3 linked regions of the Callithrix jacchus genome follow. The main gene of each other region encodes a partner of the protein of the gene in region 3 in a complex. Links are inferred from orthologs where the notes say so. Each region holds a gene or a part of one and is shown on either strand. Other genes may lie near its edges.

Region 1 (3,500 bases), on a different chromosome or scaffold from region 3:
ACTTGAACCGCTTTAGATGTAGGGCCAAGATCATGGGCAGCTTTTTTACTCTCATCCTAAGAAACCATGAAATAGAAAATCAGTTGTACCCAACACCCGTTAGGTGAAGAGAATACACTGCCATCTGCACAAACAGAACAGGAGGGGAGGTCTATGAAACTTCAAACCAGCAAACAACCAAATAGTTTGCAAGGATAAAAGTATGCTGGCTTATGTAGAGCTGACTTATCCTATATCCCTGGCTCCCAAGAGCATTCCAGCAGGAGAAATGTACAATGGTGTGACTCTGTTTGGTGAAAGGTGATGTTCCAGAATTTTCGCACAAATAAAAATAGGCCATGCAATTATTCTCCATCACTGCCCTGTGCCTTCCAGAGAGGAATGATATTTGGACAATCTTCCCTGAGATGATGGAAAGGAGGTTTAAGAGATTTTGAGAACAGGAGGCTGGGAAGAGGACAAGGTGGATAGTACCGACGGCTGGACTCATAGGTTCTGAGGACTGGCAGGGGGATGGATGCTTCTGACACACACTCTTGGGCATCAGGACACCAAGCGTGCCAGGCTCAATATCATTCTGACCCTTGTGATTTTGGGCAAGTCATTTCCTTCCTCTAGCTCTAGTTCCTCATTTATAAAATGCAGGGGTTGGTTTAGGGCTATATTTCCCAAACTGGGCTCATGAGAGCACTGGAAATGTTAACAGATGTGGTGTTTCTGTGGCCAAGTAAGTTTGGGCGATGCTACTTTCTGCTTTGAAGATCCTATGTGTACATTACCAGACTGAAGATTTTGAGAAATCCTCCAGTAAAGGGATTGTTCTGTTGTTTGATGTTGGATTTCCCAAATATATAAACATAGAAAGTTTTTTTTACTAGGTGACCATTAACACTCCTCAGTAAAAAGTCACAAAGGTAACAGTTTATGCAGAGCACACTGCTAGAATAGAGGTTCTTCCAGTTTCCTTCCAGCCCCCCATTCCATGAATGTACTGAATTAAGTGTACATGCTGTTTAGTTTGTGTACATTTTTAATGCATAGTATGTGAAAAGGACAAATTTTAAAAGAATAGTTTTAAGGAACCTATTAAGGAAAAGCCCTGGTCATAAAAATAAGCAAGTAAAACATCAGTAGAAAAATAAGAATTACAAGGAACCCCATATTTCATAGGAATACAAGACATTGTAATGTATAAACCCTCCAGGGCTGAACAAAAATGTCTAAGTGCCACAAAGAAAGACCCAAGGCCAGTCTTAGACAGACTGAGGTCGTAAGGATGGGGGGCAGATGTGAGTGACCTTCCTCACTAACAAAAGGTACCTGCCTACCTCCTTGACGCCTGCCTGCAATGTGACTAACTTTGTGTAAGTTTTGCAGCAAAGAAAGTAGTACATGTTTGGGGTGAAGGCCTGGGAAGGCTGGGCAGAGAAATGATCTCAATCTCAGGTCTAGACCCTTGAGGGTTTTAGACAGCAGTATTGAGCATCTGTCAGCTGCCCTGAATACTGCCAAGACAGATTTAACTCACAGGAAGCCTTCGCGGGAGACTGAAATGGCAACTTTCCTGGCTTGTAGGGTGGACTAATGGGGAACAACTGGTTATTTCAGATTTTCCAAAAGCTGTAACTGTCTGGTATGCAAAAAAGATGGAGAACATTGGGTCTTATTTCAATTCAGAATGCAGTAACTTTCAAACTTTCTTATCACCTGTTTTTTTTTCTTTTTTTGAGACAGAGTCTTACTCTGTCACCCAGGCTGGAGTGCAGTGGCACAATCTCAGCTCACTACAACCTCCGCCTCCAAGGCTCAAGAGATTCTCCTGCCTCAGCCTTCCGAGTAGCTGGGATTATAGGCGCAAGCCACCACACCTGGCTAATTTTTGTCTGTTTATTAGAGATAGGGTTTCACCATGTTGGCCAGAATGGTCTCAAACTCCTGACCTCAAGTGATTGGCCTGCCTTAGCTTCCCAAAGTATGCTGGGATTAAAGGTCACTGTGCCCCGCCTCTTATCACCTATTCTTACAACTGATGTGTTAATAATTTCCTCACAAGTCCTTATGAAATGATACATATATTTTAAACCTCTGTCTCTAAAAAAGAGGTCCCAATGTTTACGCAATACAAATGAAAATAATATTGGGTGTCTACTATTTGTTATATACTATTCTAAGTACTTTCTATAATTTACCCTTAATTCCAAGAGAATAGTGATTATATTTTATTACTACTTGTTTATCCAGCATAAAAAAGTATCTGGCACATGATAGCACTCAACAAGTATTTGCTGAATGACTGAATGAATGAACAAATGAGTAAACAATCGGACAGACAGCTCTCCAAGTTGTCCTCACCAAGGTCAGCGTTCTTGTCTCAGTTTCACTGGTGAGGAGGGTAACTGACTTCCCCAAGGCTCCATGGCTATGAGCCCAGGAAGCTGAGATTCAAAGCCAACCCTGCTGGGCCCCACGGTCTGGATCCCTCTCACTACACAAAGCCACCCCTGAGCTAAATCTTCACCTACCTTTTCTGGGCTTCCTGTTTGCTGCAGCATGTTTCACAATAATATTTTTGTTCACTACACAGTGTTTCTGTGTTGCTGAAGTCTCTGCAGAGGGAAGTATTTTCATCTTTAAAAAATGTTCAAATCTACTTGGCATACCATGTTTTAAATCCCTCAATTAACCTGTAGGGTCATTTTTAAGTAAAAATTAGAGAAGTAATCAGAAAAAAATCTTCCTTAAGATTAGAATGGCAGGAGAAACTACAGGATAATAAATACAAATAAAAGGTCTAGGTGCCATTATGCTGACAGACACTCTCTTTTCATTGAATCATAAATTTACTATGAGAGATTTTTCAAATATAGCTTTATTTAATGGAACACAGGCAGATATAAACTAGGGTTTCCAACTGCATTCAGAAAAAAACCTCGTGATTTAACGAAGAATACCTATAAGCTACAAATTAAAATCGTAATAGAAAAATACTATCAAGAGTAAAGGCTCATCATAAACACTAAAACTTAGGTCCAAAAAAGTCAATCACATAACGTGCAAGGTGACATTATTGTGTACTTAATGAAAAACAGCATTTCTCTGGTAGTCCAGATTTTCAAAGAGCATGAAAGTAGGAAGATAATGAAATTCAAACCATATACAAAACTGCCCTCTTCTTGAACTAAGGAAATCCTGAATTAATCAGATGACCACCTCCTACCAACCCCTGCTCCCACCACTCCCCTGACAGAGGATAAGAACTTCCGCCTGCCTTCTTTGGAGAACGAAAGTCATTGTGTTTGTCATATGTGTATCTGCCTTATCATGAGTTCTACTCTGCTACTTATGATTTTCATTTTTTAAATGTCATGGTTTTTCATTCTTTTCCAGCCATCAATATTCTACTTAACATTTCTGTGGTACTGCTTCAAAGGCTGAAAAGAACATCCAGACTAATACCCGACAGCTTTGAAAAATTCTGTGACATTTCCTTGTTCATAGAG
Region 2 (3,500 bases), on a different chromosome or scaffold from region 3:
AAACAACTAAATGCAATGTCCACCTCTAAACTGGATTCTGTACTGAATGGGGAAAATGCTATAAAGAATATTACTGGTCAGGCACAATGGCTCACACCTGTAATCCCAGCAGTTTGAGAGGCCAAGGTGGAAAGATTGCTTGAGCTCAGGCATTCAAGACCAGGCTGAGCAACACAGTAAGACCCTTGTCTCTAAAAAAATAAAAATTTAAAAATAAGCCGGGCATGGTGTCACATGCTGGTGGTCCCTGCTACTCATGAGGCTGAGATGGGAGGACTGCTTGAGCCCAGGAAGCAAAGGTTACAGTGAGCTGAGATTTGCCACTGCACTCCAGCCTGAATGTAAACATTTTCTAGCTTCATCCTTACAAAGTGTCCAGCAAATGAAATATTTTCCCCTTGTTGAGGGTACACTATATGCTTTAGTTTTTATTCCAACAATGGACACTGAAGGTAATCGTAGAAAAAGGAAAAACAAATTAATACGCCTCCCTGATCTGTATAATCCTATGAGATTATGTCCTAAGACATAATTTCCGTAACATGGTTCTATGGTCTCTTAAACTGAAAGAAAATCAAACAGTTCAATCTACAGTAAGTATCTTTCTATCACCTCAGGTATTCATTATCAATAAGCAATATTACATTAAGAGTACAGACAGATTCCTTTCAACTAAAAAATATATCTTTAACTCCTATATCTAAGAATTACAACTTTCAAGTTCATCTTCCATCCTCTCTTCCACAAAGAATAACCTTTAATGTAATGATTCAATTTTTTTCTACACAAAATTGTATGATATACTTACAGTTTCACAAGTAAGACATCTGGTTTCATTAGTTAATGTTCCCTGAAAAATCTCATGAACCCACGTTGGGTCTGGTGTGCTGTTATTATTTTCATTATCAATATTACCATTAGGTAAGCGACCATTTTGTTTTTCCTGCTTTCTCTCTTCTTGTAAAATATCAGCAATCGTGTTTAGTAGGTAATTTAAGAATTCATGAGCATCTTGTTGCATGTAGTTGTCAAAAAGCTCTAAAAATAAAAACATAATATTAGAAAATTATTTCTGAACATACAACTTCATGAAAAACCAATTTATCAAAGAAATATATAGTATTGGATCAGAACTAAAATATAAATGCACAATGTTTTTGTAAGGTGTAAAAAATAAATAACTTTCACATCTAAAACTTTCATCTAAATTTGGGGAAAATAAATGTAAAATTAATTAAAATCTTGTTTAAAAATACTACTAACTGATCCATGAGAAAAGGGCAAAACCTATCCTCAGACATCAGCATAACAGATACTGAGAATTTAAGAAGAAATTGCTTATTAACTTATCTAACCTATTGTTCCACCAATATTTCAACACAGCAAGCTTTAAAGAAGTTGGACAACCATTTGCCAATGCCAAGCCAACTGCTTAAGAACCACAAAGTTCATCAAAAATAAATTACTGAACCATACATCCCCAAGATTCTGATTTAGTTAGTAAGGGGTGAGGCCAGAATGTGGGGCTTTTCAAAGCTCCTCCAACTAACTCCGATGTAGAGTCAGGTTAAGAATCATGTTATCAAGAATTATCTATGTAATCTAGATAATCTCAAGTCCCTTCCAAATGTCGGATTTTATAATTCCATGAAATGTTCTCTGCAGTTATACAAATGAGTAAATATAATGGAAATATTGGTGGTGCTAACATCAAGTGCTTTACCCTGTGCTTGGCAATGTACAACTCTACCACAGAACAGTAAGGACTTTAGTGACAGCATCTCATTTGACCCTCAACAACCACGTAATATTGTTGTTAACTTTATTTTTAAATATGGAGATGGGACCAGAGAGGGTAAAGTCACATTGCCAAGAAATGGCAGACCCAGGATTCAAACTGGGCAGCCTGATTCCACCATGCCACACACAAAGTAATAGCCAGTGTGAGCCCACACATGAGAACATACATGAATTATTCAATAAAATGCATTGAGAAAAATAACCTTTTTAGAAAATTTTATTTTTAGATCCTCAATGTACATTTGATAAATTCCAGAAAGATTTTACATTTTAAAAATGAATGCATACAAATTTAGAAAAAAATTCAGGTAAAGTCTAAGATAAAAGCAATTAACAATTACATTTTAGAAGAGATACGGATATAAAATTAAGTTCTGTGTATTAGAAATATTTTAAAAGTTTAAAAAAAGTGAAACCTAAAAATTATTAACATTATAACATAGAAAATCTCACATTAAAAAAAAACAAAGTGGGCAATGGGCTTGCAATCAACAATTTATAAGAAAAGAAAATAATCAAAAAGCTAAGAAACATGAGAAAATGTCCAATACCACGGGAAGAAGAAAAAAACAGGCCAGGTGCAGTGGCTCATGCCTGTAATCCCAGAACTTTGGGAAGCCGAGGCAGGTGATCACCTGAGGTAAAGAGCTGGAGACCAGCATGGCCATGATGGTGAAACCCTGTCTCTGCTAAATACAAAAATTTCACCAGGCGTGGTGGTGCATGCCTGTAATCCTAGCTACTTGGGAGACTGAGACAGGAGAATCGCTTGAACCTGGGAGGTGGAGGTTGCAGTGAGCCAAGATGGCACCATTGCACTCCAGTCTGTGCAACAAGACCAAAACTCCATCTCAAAAAAAAAAAACCTCCGAATACCATCTTTCTTTGCAAGTTATTGTAAAAATAGAAAGGGAACGAGTGAAACTATTTATGGGGGGGCACAGCTGCTAGAGCAAGGCTGTCTGGGTTGGTGCTATGGTTCTACCTCTAACTGTATATGCAGCATAGGCAACTTATTCAATCTCCCTGTACCATAGTTCCTCATCTGAAAACTGGGGCTCACAGCAGTACCTACACCTTACAAGGCTGGTAGGAAAATCAAAAGTGCTCAGAACACAACAATAGATTTTGTTTTCTGTTCAACAGCAACCACAATAATAATATTGGCAGTATTACCACAGGCTGAGTATCCTTTATCCAAAATGCTTGGGACCAGCACTGTTTGGGACTTTAGACTGCTTCAGATTTGGGAATATCAGTATACACATAACGAGGTATTTCGGGGGTGGGACTCAAGTCTAAACATGAAATTTGTTTCATATACACCTTGTAGCCTGGAGGTGACTTTCTATTTTTAAATATTTAGTACAGGAAACTAAATTTGTGTACACTGAACTATCAGAAAGTAAAGATATTACTAACTCAGCCACTCATGTGGCATCATGCAGCTCAAAAAGTTTCACATTTTTGAATTAGGGATGCTCAACCTACGTTATTGTTGTTGCTACTGAACAGAATACAGAACACATCAAAGACTGACTACATAAAAATTAAGAACTTCTGTATGGCAAAGTCAACATAAATGGAGACAAGTGACATATAAGGAGAATTATTTGCAGTGCTAATATCTAGACTATGTAAAGGATTAATATACAGAATATTTTTTTAAAAAAACCTTTACAAAACAAGAAAAGAAAAAA
Region 3 (3,500 bases):
AATAATCATCTAGCTATTTAAGAATCACTTCCTCAGATGATATTAATAAAACATCTAGGTAAATAAAATATTTTCTGCTTAACACTTTTTAATGGAAATGGAATTAAATACTTTTCCTCTACAGTCTGTCAGTCCAGATGACAAGTTTTGTTCTCAGTCAACTCAGGACACTAGAAGAGGCGGCATGGCTCATGAGATCTCATCAAATCCGCTGGCAATGTCAAATAGGAGGACCTGGGTGGACACTGAATTTGCATGTAGCAAATACCATGACTGCCAAAGAATCCAAATTTTAACTGCCATTTGTCAAGTTGAATTTTCCTCCCCAAACAAAATTATTTCTTAAAAACCATACTCTATAATGTGTTTTTGTTCCAAGTTGATGATGTTAAAACCCTGCAACAATGCAAAAGCACTTATCCTTTCTAAGGGAGGGGTCCTACATAGCCCGACACTTGCACATTGGGGGTGAGGTCCCAAGTAGAGATTGGAACCCAGGGCTTCTAAATCAGCAAGCCTACCTTATCTTTTCCATTTGGGAGAAAAGTCATACTGAAACAGAGGAGGAAGAACATTAAATATGAAATAGCAATAGCTGAGGCTAAAAGATGCTCCAACAGCTTTTAAAAACATCATCTATTTGGCAATTTCTATATGCCACATTCAACAGTCCTGACATGTTCCTGGACAGACAGCTCAGATATCTCAAACTCTTGAAACCCCAGGACATACTACAACACTGGCAAAAGCCACGTCATGTGACCCAAATTTAAGTGCCAGGATTTCTAACTACGTCAAAGGTGGGTTTACAGCAACTATTTTTCAAGAGCAAGTGAAGTACTCCTTAGCCCAGTGCCTGTCAAACATACATACGGAAGCTTTAGCTACAATTTAAGCCACCTAAGGAAATGTTATCAAGTTCTTTGATCTGCATGAAATGTTCGGTGATGTGAAGCAAGTTTGGAATTCTACATTTTCCTAAATTATAAATACCAAGTTACAGTACTGTCCCTAACTCCACTGCAGAAGAGTTTTTAAACACCTGTTACAGACACCTGAGCATGCTCCATAAAAATGCACAAAACAGTTACCCCAAGGGAACAGGTAAGGTCAACAAATTAATCCACCACATTTAAACCTGGGTATACTAGGGAGGAGAGCTGAGCGAATAGAAAATGGGCTTAGCCTGAAGTGCAAAATAAGGCCCACTACCCTTGGTAAGAACGCACCAATTCCTAAAGGGATCCTTAACAGCTAAGACAGGGTGCTACTTACTTCCTCATTAAAAAGTTTGCTAGTTTCTTTTTTGATTGGGTCTATAAGCTGGACTTGGCCTGCAGAAAAGCCCACTAGGAGAGAGACACTTTCTGCTGTGGCTGTTAGGTGGTTGAAGTCATGACAAGTAGGCTGTGTTCCTTTGTATATCCTTTTATCTATTGGTTTACTCAAGTCAGCAGCCTGGAGGAGAAAGAGAAAAATACATATAGTAAACAGCACATTGAGATGAGAAATCTAAGTTATGCTATTTTATACTCCAATATGGTGTTTAATCTTAAAAATGAAGTTATTTAAAATATTTTTTCAGTTGTGACTTAACATTCATCTTACATTTTATGAAAGCACTTTCACATACCTTAGCCAACTAGATATCATCAGACTATCTATAATAAAACTGTTACTTTCACAACTTATTCTCCCTCAAATATATGTAACACTTCAGCAGGAAATATCCTTGAGATACTAAATTCAGTATTTTCAAAATGCGTTTCAATCAGTATCTAACAGAGGAGCCACATAAGAGCTCAGTTTCCAAGCGCGTCTTTAGCACCTAAATGTCCACTGGCCAGTCACCTGCAGCCCCGTGGCTCTCAAAGTATAGTCCCCAAACCAGAAGCAGCAGCAGCATGTGGAAACTTAGCAATGCGAAATCTCAAACCTTACTCCAGACTAAATGAATCAGAAACTATGGGAGGGAGTATGGGAGGGAGTAGGGCCAGCCAGCCGTAGTTTAAAGAGCCTTCCAGGTGATGCCGTTGCCTGCTCAAGTCTAAGAGCCGCTGCTGGAGCCCACGCTATACACTGGCTCCTCCTGGGTCAAGATCCCGCTTCTGAATTAGGTGTCAGGGAACACTCACTTATCGAGGTCATAATCAAGGTGCTTTACATGCATCATCTTTGACCCTAAAAATAATGCTCCAAAGTGGACAATATTTTACCCATTTTACAGATGAGAAAACAAGGTTAGGGAAGTTAATACCTTGACCAATTGTCACCATACCTACCTAGTAAGTGGCAGGACTGGATTTGGAACCAGTCTGTTTGACCATTAAGGGGATGGGGAAAGAGAGTCAAAAGCAAATGATTTCTCACTTGAGTGTAAAGAAATTTTTCAATGTGCCCTCCCTCCTTTCAAGAAGAATTCTTTTCTTCATGAGAAATGTTCTGTGTCATCCCAATATGCTGAGCTTTTATTGTGAAATATAAGGGAAACCCATCCCCTCCCACTCTTGTCTGAAAATCTCAGGTGGAGACAACTAACCCTGAAACAGAACTTGTCCCTCAAGACACCCAGCTCACCCTGCGTGGCCCTCTGGGGCTCCCGGCTCTAGTTCTCTACTGACCGCCCCCTCAGGTTCTGAAGATTTCTTTCTTCCAAAGAGGCCTGGGACACTGAACCAAGTAGTCTAATGTTTGACTTTGCAATAACAAATATAAATAATGAGTAGAAAAGAGGACCTCAAAATTACAGGCGTGTTTGAGCAAACTCAAAACCTTGTACATGTGGAAGTCTGGACCTGAGTGGTAACAAGTAGCTCTGGGAGCCCCAGGGCAAAGGAATGAGGGTACATGCCATGCGGACACTCTCCCAGCCTCACCTCAGTTAAAACGGAGATGAAAATCTCTGTTCTACCAACCTCATGGGATTGTCTGGAGGATGAAATAAGAGAATATATACATGAAAGAGCCTTGAAAAGTGTAATACAAAGCACCATACAAAACAAAAGGGAGTCCTGACTTTGGAGTGAGGAGAAAGGGGCCAGTGGAGGGTGGGCTGAAGGCAGCTCAGCCGAGTGCTGTGAGTGAGCAGCGGGGCCCAGGACGGTGGCCGTGGACAGGCTGTCTGAGAAAGGCAGCTTCTGGGCGGGCTCTGATGGCAGGGAGAGAGAATCCTGGCCTGACAGAACACCACACGCCAGTCATCTCAGAACAAGGAAGACAGCCCCCACCCCCCGCCAAAAAAAAAGCCACAAATATAAGATATGACTGGCAGCTAGAGAACAAAAATCCAATTTTGAAATATGAACAATTAAGTTACACATAATTACTATCAGCATATTCAACTCTTGAGACTTTTTCTTTTTTTTTTAGTTTGCTTAGGAAAAATAAAAAATCAGGCACGCCTGTGGTCCCAGTTATCCAGGAGGCTGAGGTGAGAAGACTGCTTGAGCCCAGGAGTTCAAGGTGACAGTTAACTGGGATTGCACCACTGCACTTCAGGC

What was found. The genes of interacting proteins can lie anywhere in the genome.
Region 1: the proteins of WDR20 (region 3) and USP46 are in contact, whole or in part, in a crystal structure (PDB 6JLQ), measured with the Homo sapiens proteins. The link is inferred for Callithrix jacchus from reciprocal best matches to the Homo sapiens genes WDR20 and USP46. Residues at the interface, in NP_653175.2 of Homo sapiens: Asn41, Ser42, Gly44, Arg151, Lys259, Tyr261, Phe262, Gly263, Glu282, Asp283, Asp284, Leu285, His301, Lys304, Ser305, Trp306, Gln374, Asp375, Thr376, Leu509, Arg516, Met517, His533, Glu534, Arg535; in NP_073743.2 of Homo sapiens: Asn205, Thr206, Ser207, Thr209, His210, Arg213, Arg273, Val275, Phe276, Pro277, Glu279, Leu280, Arg281, Phe283, Asp293, Met295, Gln338, Glu342, Tyr344, Thr347, Ser348.
Region 2: the proteins of WDR20 (region 3) and USP12 are in contact, whole or in part, in a crystal structure (PDB 5K1C), measured with the Homo sapiens proteins. The link is inferred for Callithrix jacchus from reciprocal best matches to the Homo sapiens genes WDR20 and USP12. Residues at the interface, in NP_653175.2 of Homo sapiens: Asn41, Ser42, Gly44, Ser45, Arg151, Ser170, Lys259, Ser260, Tyr261, Phe262, Gly263, Glu282, Asp283, Asp284, Leu285, His301, Lys304, Ser305, Trp306, Gln374, Asp375, Thr376, Arg516, Met517, His533, Glu534, Arg535; in NP_872294.2 of Homo sapiens: Glu207, Asn209, Thr210, Ser211, Thr213, His214, Arg217, Arg277, Val279, Phe280, Pro281, Leu282, Glu283, Leu284, Arg285, Phe287, Asp297, Met299, Gln342, Glu345, Tyr348, Thr351, Ser352.

What each region holds. Positions count from the first base shown.
Region 1 is NC_133504.1:144,020,243-144,023,742, reverse strand, and holds part of USP46 (ubiquitin carboxyl-terminal hydrolase 46), read right to left. Parts: intron 2,607-3,500; coding exon 2,523-2,606; intron 57-2,522; coding exon 1-56. UniProt on the Homo sapiens protein: Deubiquitinating enzyme that plays a role in behavior, possibly by regulating GABA action. May act by mediating the deubiquitination of GAD1/GAD67.
Region 2 is NC_133506.1:146,261,097-146,264,596, forward strand, and holds part of USP12 (ubiquitin carboxyl-terminal hydrolase 12), read right to left. Parts: intron 1,039-3,500; coding exon 809-1,038; intron 1-808. UniProt on the Homo sapiens protein: Deubiquitinating enzyme that plays various roles in the regulation of the immune response and inflammation.
Region 3 is NC_133509.1:137,130,158-137,133,657, reverse strand, and holds part of WDR20 (WD repeat-containing protein 20), read right to left. Parts: intron 2,929-3,500; coding exon of another isoform or gene 2,877-2,928; intron 1,459-2,876; coding exon 1,276-1,458; intron 553-1,275; coding exon of another isoform or gene 522-552; intron 1-521. UniProt on the Homo sapiens protein: Regulator of deubiquitinating complexes. Activates deubiquitinating activity of complexes containing USP12. Anchors at the base of the ubiquitin-contacting loop of USP12 and remotely modulates the catalytic center of the enzyme.